2 linked regions of the Daphnia pulex genome follow. The protein of the gene in region 1 purifies or fractionates together with the protein of each later gene. This does not show direct contact. Links are inferred from orthologs where the notes say so. Each region holds a gene or a part of one and is shown in the gene's direction. Other genes may lie near its edges.

Evidence for each region. The genes of interacting proteins can lie anywhere in the genome.
Region 2: the proteins of E3 ubiquitin-protein ligase MYCBP2-like (region 1) and F-box/SPRY domain-containing protein 1-like purify together in Caenorhabditis elegans (affinity purification with western blotting; 3 studies listed by BioGRID). This does not show direct contact. The link is inferred for Daphnia pulex from reciprocal best matches to the Caenorhabditis elegans genes rpm-1 and fsn-1.

The regions. Positions count from the first base shown.
Region 1 is NC_060019.1:11,808,370-11,813,042, reverse strand, and holds part of E3 ubiquitin-protein ligase MYCBP2-like, read left to right. Parts: coding exon 1-618; intron 619-689; coding exon 690-1,055; intron 1,056-1,139; coding exon 1,140-1,277; intron 1,278-1,338; coding exon 1,339-1,722; intron 1,723-1,788; coding exon 1,789-2,135; intron 2,136-2,211; coding exon 2,212-2,539; intron 2,540-2,628; coding exon 2,629-2,743; intron 2,744-2,811; coding exon 2,812-2,984; intron 2,985-3,066; coding exon 3,067-3,198; intron 3,199-3,284; coding exon 3,285-3,515; exon of another isoform or gene 3,516-3,558; coding exon of another isoform or gene 3,559-3,738; intron 3,739-3,798; coding exon of another isoform or gene 3,799-3,953; intron 3,954-4,012; coding exon of another isoform or gene 4,013-4,110; intron 4,111-4,181; coding exon of another isoform or gene 4,182-4,393; exon of another isoform or gene 4,394-4,454; intron 4,455-4,673. Other genes in the region: uncharacterized protein LOC124191239, read right to left, coding at 3,559-3,738, 3,799-3,953, 4,013-4,110, 4,182-4,393.
Region 2 is NC_060023.1:5,715,580-5,720,185, reverse strand, and holds F-box/SPRY domain-containing protein 1-like, read left to right. Parts: upstream 1-1,954; 5' UTR 1,955-2,050; coding exon 2,051-2,154; intron 2,155-2,274; coding exon 2,275-2,513; intron 2,514-2,583; coding exon 2,584-2,681; intron 2,682-2,744; coding exon 2,745-2,876; intron 2,877-2,934; coding exon 2,935-3,120; 3' UTR 3,121-3,618; downstream 3,619-4,606. Other genes in the region: transcription factor Dp-1-like, read right to left, coding at 1-269, 337-434, 512-569. UniProt on the Caenorhabditis elegans protein: Component of a SCF (SKP1-CUL1-F-box protein) E3 ubiquitin ligase complex which is required for the restriction and/or maturation of synapses in GABAergic neuromuscular junction (NMJ) presynaptic neurons.

The DNA.
Region 1 (4,673 bases):
CCCAAGCAAGTGGACCCGATTGTACCACTGCGCGGAGATCCTCGACATCGCAAGACACGAGAGGAGAAAGCGCGCCAACGGCACTCGGTCGAAATCTTTTCTACTAATATGCTATCAGGGCCGTTTGCATCTCCACTGCCGGTAGCGTTAGAAGAGAGTTGGAACACGGAACGAGGGGAATCGGCAAGCAATCATCAGATACAACCGGATGTTCCTGACAACAAAGTGGCATCGTCTTTAACTCCAACACTTAGCCTCCTGGTCGAACTTTGGGAAAAGATGAGCGGGCGTTGTGTTGAGTTGATACAGTCTGAGCCGACGGCTTCATCCTCGACGCTCAGTGTCGCCCAGTTCCAGAATGAGAGCGTGTCCAAGGCTAAACCGAAAACTGAAAACAGAGATGCACGCGATAAAGAGCGAAAACGCAAGTCCCGTAGAGAGAGCATCCGACCGGAATCTAACTGTGAACTATGCGGCGGATTGTTTGCCGTGCCTGTAACCGCTCACATGAGACAAGCTCATCCAGGCTGTCAGAAGCCAGCCCTTGGATTGGGTTACAACCCCGACGGACAGTACTGCGGGGGCTGGGTAGGAAATTGTGGCGAAGGAGGCATTCAGGTTAGATCCAAATTGGATTCCTCAGTTGATATGGAAATTAATTCTAGCTTATTTTTGTGTTGGTCTTATAGGGAAGTTCGTGGTACTTATTGTGCGAGGATTGTCGACATCGGTACTTGCAACAGAGGAGACAAGTGGGTGAAGCATTCGGCCTTAAAGATGACAAGGGCAAGCGATTGAGAAGAAAAGTATCAATCACTTCAACTACCACACCCACGACCCAACTGTTAAGACCCTCAACACCATTGGAGACACACGTCATTCTCAAAGACAACGCTCTTTTCTTATTGCAACTAGCTACGTCGTCCAGTCCTGAAAAGAATCAACAAATACTGGAACGAAGAAGAAGGAGCCTAATGCATCAGCCGTCACTTAGTTCAGTCTCCGAAATTGACAAGGATTTGTCAAACAGAAAGATTTCAGCCCCACCTTCCAAGGTGAAAATCTTTGCAGTGTTGCTGTTTCGATTTCGTTTTTAAAGCAGATTATTATTTACTAATTTTTCTTTGTCCCATTTCTAGAGTGGATACCAAGCGTCAGGTGATATTTTCCCTTGGCTTCAATTTCAATGTCTTCCCGTTCTTAAATCGGGATGCAGCCCTCAGCTGTCCAACAACGAAGTTAATTTCGGCGATGGAGAAGTGGAAAATTCCTTTGAAGTATTACATATCAAGTGATAAGTTTAATGATTTTGTGTTTGACAGTTTTCTATTTCAAAAGATGGATCCTTGTCGAGGAATAAAAGAAAGTTGCGATGGGTTCGGCAGGCAGTTACATCGATCGGTCTCTATGATTACACAGCCACTTGCCCAACATCTGAGATCATCTCAAGAGCCGGACGGTTCCATCACTGGAGTATCGCAGAGGAGACGAACCAGCAGCGCTGATGAACAAGGAATCGACGGAGGTTTAGCGCTTTTGCGTTCACCCTCCAAAGCTCTCCAAGATACCGTTAAGTTAATGTCCGGATCTCATGACCATGCGGCAACACAATCGACATTGCCGGTTTTAGATTTTGTTGCTCAGCGACATGATCTTGACTCTCTTCGGACTTCCATGGAGCTGGCGTTGCGAAAAGCCTCTTGCCGTGTCTTTGCAATGGAGGTGTGTCATCACTTGATAAAGTCTTATCACTTGGAAAATCATTATGTTATATTGTTTATCCATTAGAATTTGTCGTGGCTCCTGCAAAACGTCACTCAGCCAGTGTGCTTGCATGATCTTCTCTGGTGGTTAGTATCGTCACTTGCTCCGTCTCTGGAAACAGCCAACAACAAAGTGGAGACTGGGGGAGCTGATGGATCGACAAGCAAAGACAACTTAGTAGGACAGCATCCAACTTCAGACGTCAGTTTAGCTGGAGAAGGATTATCGCCGCTACTGCAGTCGTTTCACGGTCTTCTACAAACGGTATCTAATCTGATGCAACTACTCCCGATGGGCACACCTCTACTTGCGATGGCCGTCCGTTGTTGGGACATTCGATTCAAGCAAACCGATCACGCATTTCTTCACAAGTGAGTTAAAAACTGATGAATTAATATGTAGAAAGCTGTCCGTTTCTTAATGATTTGTCTTTTTTCGTGCACCTAGGAGCCACGTATTTAGCAACATCAGTCGAATTCTTTCGCGTTGTGAAGAGGAAGCAACTGTCGATATCGAAGCATTAGAAAATACTGCAATTCATTCAGCTGGGCATGTGACGATGTTGACTGAAGTCACAGAGGGAATAGACATTAAGGTGTCTAGCCGCACTGCCATGGTAAATAGTTTGACTGATGGCTCGACCGAAACCTTCTGGGAATCAGGCGACGAGGACCGGGGTAAAATGAAACTCATAACCATCCAAGTTTGTCCTGAAACGGCTGGATTTCCACCACGCATTGTTTGTTTATATGTCGATAACAGTCGAGATATGGGGGTGAGTTATCCATTTCTTAGTTTTTATAGATTTTTATTAAATCCTCGTAAAATCCTCTTTAATTATCATGTTATTTATTCTTTTCTTAGAACAAAGTTTCTGGAGTGACTTTCAAAGCCGGACCAAATGGAGAAGAGCTGCAAATCGTGGACGTCTTAGAAGTAGAAACTCGATTTTCTGGGTGGCTTCATACTTCCCTACCTCGTATGCGTTTTATTTGAATTGTCGCCATTAGGAATTAAATCATGATTTGAATCATTTCTTTACTATAGAAATCAACTTCCAGATCATCCAGCTTGAGTTGAAAGGGCCCGATAACTCGCTTCGCATTCGTCAAGTTCGCTTGCTGGGTGGAGGTATCTCTCGGTCCTTCAACGCTTTAGCCATTCATCAACGAACGTGCGAGACGGAAACACTGCGAGTGTTTCGTTTATTGACCTCACAGGTATTTGTTTTGAAAAGTTGACCTACGATTCGTGAGTTTAGTTAACATAACACTAATTACGTTGCAATTTCTTATTTTCCAGGTCTTCGGTCGGCTGATTTTAAACGAGGGAGATGCCTCTCCTTCACGTTCTACCGATCGTGGACCCAATGAAGATGAAATGGATGGAGAAATAGCTGAAAGGACTCGGGATATTGATTTGAAAGAGCACATGGTATGGCAATATCTACTGTTTCAATTTTTTTTTTGTGCTATTTAAATATGCTCAGTATATTTATTATTATGAATTTGTTTGAACAGGTTGGAATATTGTTCAGCGGCAAGAAGTTGACTCACTTGCAACGCCAAGTGTGCACTCACATATTGCATGGCATTCAGCGGGAAACCGTTCGGTTGAAAGAAGAATGGGATGCTTTGCTACAATTGGAACAACAAAATGACACTTTAACTGGAACCGATGCTATAAATCACGATGCCGGCTACGTTAATTCACGGATCTCTGATTCGTATTGCTTCGAACTCTTATCGCAGGTAAATGTTTTGGCCCACGTCTCTTAGTATTAATTTACAGTATTCACATCGGATCTAGTTTTTGTAATTGATAGAAGAAACTAAAAGCTAGTAGCGATTGAAGTGAAGTAAACAAAATTAGGAGCCATCCATAGCGTTCAAAATTGGTTGATGCACTCAGAGCTAGTCCGGCCCAATGGAGTGTTTCAATTTTGGCGAAAGTCAGTCTCCACGCGATCATTCTCTGATCAAAGAAAAACAACGTTATTCCGATTTAGTGACTGATCAGAAGTAGGATAGAAACCTTTTCGTTGCGATAAATGTTAGGTTCCTGTAAAAAATAGCAGCTGGAAATTATGGACATGCTGAAACCGACATAATCTCTCCAACTAGCAACGTATTTTGAAGGACAGCTAACGACGCTTGCCGTTGGCATCAATTTGATGAAAGTGGCTATCCCTGGTAGTAGAGTGGGTTGCAATAAGCACATAAAATTTTTAAATATCGGTAGTGATTACCTTTAGTCACGTGTGCCATACACAAATAGAAACCAAGAATTTCAGGATTGGCCAGTCGATTCCAATCAGTGCTGCGAGACTGCCGTGAAACTTCATGACTAAGACAGAATTACTGTATTTGAGTTTGAACATTGACAAAAGGAGAATTTTTTTTATTGATTTTTTTTACCTGACGACTCCAAGAAGGACACACGCAATATGGGTTGTGCCGCGGAAGAAAAATTTGTTGGTTGAGAACACAACAAAGGTTGTGAGAACGACAGATGTTGCTGAAATAGTATCATACCATGATTTGATATCGTAACGAAGTGAAATAAATGCTGCTATCAAGTGAGGCCCAATGCAGCACAAGACATGCAAACGCAAAGCCGATCTATTCATGACCAAATAAAAAGACTGGATAAAATTGTTACATGTTATACGTTGCTCGAAAAGATACCCAAGTTTCTTATCTCTTTTTTAAACCAGATCTCTACTTTTTTTCCTCATTTTGTTATCGGCTTGCTTTCCTATTTGTGTTGAACATACTTGTCAATTTTGCATGCACCTTATCTAAATCCCTGGTGCGTAATCGCTAGTGGGTCTAAATGACCTTGATTTATTTTTTTCTACTCAAGATGATCCACGATCCTCAATACTATAATCATCACCATGCGAATCG
Region 2 (4,606 bases), on another chromosome or scaffold:
CTTTTTCGTGAACCACTGTGATCAAGAATTGGGGAAATGAAGTTTTTGCCCTGTTGTTGTTGCTGATTTAAGCGTTGAGGAGTGCTCAACACAACAGGCACTACTGGTAACTGTACAGCAGTGTTTTTGTTACTCGGAGTAGATCCATTTCCTGATGATAATGGTATGGCTAGTATCTGTCCAGCTGCCACTTGTCCACGAGGTCCAGGTGCTCTTGTCACTCTGCCAAGTGACTGCAACATCTGAGGTGTGGCAGCCAAAACGGTTCCCTAAACAAATTTTCAGCCAACATTGTTAACATCTTTTACATTTTATTCAAGCACATCCTTGACTTACATTAGATCGCAGAACAGCTCTAACTGCTCCAGAAGCCATGGACACTGGAACACCTTTTCCAGCAGTGGCATGCACCACTTTTATCATTTGTGGCTGACCTGGAATGCAAACAACCATCATTTTATTATCTTGTTGAAAAGAATGAGATAATTTCTTAGTCTAGACTTTGACATACCATTTGCATCTTGGATCCAAATGTTGGTGATGTTTCCAGTTGGGGTTGACTGTGCCATCTCCTTAACCTCTTGTAAATTTATTTATATTATTTAACTGTAAAGAGAAGAGATCAAGGAAGATCCAATGTGCTGACAATGTTTTGTCAAACAAGCATCTTTGGTGGGTGGGACCAAAAGTATGATCAACTGAGCGCCGTTATAATTCGAACTTCCTGTCAAATTACAGATATCATCAAATTTCATATAGAACTATGATAGAATCTAAATAGACTAAAATGGAAATTCCCCGTATTTATTCCTCCAAATGATTTCAGAACACGATGAGCGAAATGGCGCCCAAAACGCCATCACCAGTCGATACCCCACACCGGTAAGTTTTCCCCCTTATTTTAAGATTTTTGCAGACATCTTCACTTAAACTTTCCAAGCTCAATGACAAATAGTATCCTCCTTTATTATCTAATTCACTTTATGAATAAAAAATAAAAATCCCCTCAATCCAAAACAAAAGAGACAATAGGGTTTACCTAAGGTTCTGGGCCAACTTTATACGATCGTCACTAGACACACACTGCTGTAGCATCAGCAGGCAGCTAGGCAAAAATGCACGAGGGGGTGATGATGGCACAGCAGGCCAACGGCTTAGTTTTTATTATATTTTTTTTTTCTTTATTTTTTCGTCCGGGGGGTTTACTGAGTGAGCGTCTTATATGTACGTCATATGAGACTGGGATTCAATTCAATTCTAACTTCTCCATGAGTTCGCTTTCTATCTATCGCAATTTGCAATGAAAAAAAAATCGATACTTTCAACGGGCAGAAATTCGAAATTCAAACAAACTCGTGACCTTGGGTCGTTGGGTGAGAACAAAAATATGAACAAATGATTTTCGATTTTCCTTGCTCGTTTAATTTCTCCTTTTCTCTTTTTCAAATATTCATGTAAAATACTAAGTAGCGCTAAAACATGAAGGAGAAAGAGGAAATTAATTAAGCGCAGGCAAGTGTTCAGCGATTTCGTTATTTTATTTTATTAATTTCTGAAATATATTTTTTTTATTTCGCTCTTTTAAATTGGTCTATTTTTTTAATTTGGCTGTTAATACAGTTATCGTAATAAATGTATCGTAATAACTAAGTGCTAATTTGATTAATTTCATGGGAAAAGCGTTAAATTTTTATTGAAATCGAGCATGAATATGAATGAAATCATAAATCAGAAGGCTAAGTAAAATCAAACGTCGTCTGCTTTTCCGGATACGCGGGAACCATTTCAAACATAAACTAAAATATTATTTTATCTTAAAAACTAGTAAAAAAGTAGTTTGATATTAATATATCGTTTTTTCACAGGTGTAATTCAGTGTTTTATCAAGTTGTTTAGATTCTCATAATTTTTGTTCGGTTTTCTTATTTCAGATCAATTGCTATGGCAATGTGGCAACACCGGTTCTGCCATAGAAGTATTGTCAATTGCAGAAAAAATCGAAAGAAATTTCCTAAATGAATGTTGAAGTGTTTGCGAGCCGGCGTTTAGAATGCACGTGGATATACTACCAGATATTATACTAGGAAATATTTTCTCATATTTGCCGCTGCAGGATTTAAGAAGCAGTTCGTTGGTGTGCAAACGGTGGTACAGGTACAAGTTTTCTTGAAATCAACACCAGTTTGTGACTATTCGCTAGTGATCTACCGTTGCTAACAAAACCAGCGATTGTTTGAAACTTATGTTCTCCTTGCACATTATTATTTGAATCAGTATACTGAATGATGAGGACAATGATGTCTGGAGACTGCACTGCATACGAAAACTGGCAGAAGAAGTCCTGAGCTCAGACCTCCTATCTTCCGCTCCTACCTACAAAACAAAATTAAAAGCATTTCACCATGCTTGGAACCCAGAAGACTGCTCTAGAAACATTTATATCAAACCCAATGGTTTTACCATACACAGAAACCCTGTTGCACAGAGTACAGATGCTGTGAGAGGTAAAATTGGTGAGTACTAAATATTGTAGATGCCTGTTGCAAGTGTACATATTAATCCATTCAACTAATGTTTGTGCAGGATTCAGTCAAGGTAGGCATGCCTGGGAAGTGATGTGGGAAGGTCCTCTTGGAACAGTTGCAGTTGTTGGAATTGCAACTAAAGAAGCAACTCTCCAGGTATAATTGTGTTAAAATTTGAATATTTTATCTAAAAATAATTGTCAAAATCCATGTTCACAGACACATGGATACATAGCTTTACTAGGATCAGATGACCAAAGTTGGGGTTGGAATTTGGTTGATAATCATTTACTTCATAATGGAGATTCCCAAGGCAATTACCCAATGCTGAACAATGCACCTAAATACCAAGTGATTGAGTCTAACCAATGAATGAGTTGAATCAACCTAACCTAAAGTTTTGTTGCAGGTTGGGGAGCGGATACGAGTCATTCTTGACTGTGATGACAATACATTAGCTTTCGAAAGAAACTATGAATTCCTCGGAGTGGCGTTTAGGGGCTTACCAGAGAAGCTCTTATACCCTTCGGTGTCGGCAGTCTATGGGCACACAGAAGTCTCAATGGTCTACCTGGGTCCTCCCTTGGATGGCTAACTGTCGCCTGTCCCCCTCTCCTAAACAGAAAATTTCTTTGTGTGAATCAATTTCTACAGGCAAATGCGTTTTGCCAACCAAGAAAGGATGTTGTTGTAAAAGAATCCCAAAATTCAGTGTACAAAGGTTGCGTTGGGAATACCGCTCTGACTTAAAACATTCCCGTATTTTCCCATTCTTCATTTATTTATTATTTTTTTTTTTTTCATGATTTCCCTGGTGTGTGTCAGATTATTGTAGTGTGTTACAATTCAAATTTCGTGTGGTTGTGTTTTCACGTTCAACCGAAAACCAACAAATGGTTAATCGTCCGGTCTGACTGCTACTTGCGAAATAGATTTGTATAACTTAAAATTTCCCTGTGTATGTTTGTATGACTTGGGACTGGTGATGATGCTAAAGAATAACTGAACCTCTTACTGCCCAAAGTTTGGCGTTTTGAATAAAAAAATCTAATTCGTGTTTAATTACTCGAATAAATGAAAAATGACTTGTCTACACTGCCTTTATTTAATTTTATAAATAAGCATTATTCAAACACTTAAAGGTGTTAACCAATGAGTAAGGAATCAGGTTTTCTAAGTACTCCTACATTTACCATCGTATACGAATGGATTCGATCGTTTAGGTTTTTTCTAGCCTCATTACTACTTCATGTGTGATTTTTTCTCTTCTAACGCTTCTAACTGAGAAATGTACTGATGGGCACTTGGATCCTAGATTTCTAGCAACATATTGGTCAAAAACTGTCTTGAAGGTCAAACAAAAAAGTTTGTTTAACTGTATTTCCATTACGCTCATCAAATCGAACGACGATCGAGTAAAGGCTTTAATGGTTTTTCGCATGTTGAATTAATCAAAGCGCAAAAGCAATATCATTCCAAAAATAGGTCAAAATCAAAGAAAGTTTCGTCCCCTCTTTTATGGTTTATTGTGTACGTTGACCTTCATCAACCTCATAAAGCGAAGTGTAAGTGTCATGTACCACCGGAATTTTCAGTTCTATTCGATTCACAAGCAAAGACAGCTGGTCATTTCCTCCCCATTTTCAATTTCTATTTGTACATCGCCTTAGGGGTTCCAAACCCTAAGGTAGGTGGATTGGATATTCTATTGTGTGACCAACAAAACACGTTTTCCGTCGATTTACTTTCGACCAAAAAAAAAAAAAAATCCTTGTGACGGGAATTCTGTTGCGCTGCCCAATGGCAATCCGCAAGAAAGGACAACATTGAATGCCTCTACCATCTAGCGTCAAAAATGAAGAGCGGTTCAAACAGGAAGAGTTTTCTGAATTAAATAATCACGCACTCGATAATCGGAGGCGTGTATTCATTGCCATAAATGAATGGGCATGCTAAATTATTATATAGTTTCTTTGGGTTGCGCGATAATTTCATAATTTCCAAACTGAACCATATTTATCTGTTGTCGTCACGTCGACTGAGAAGAACGACTACATTGTCGATTGAAATTTTCCAAGCCG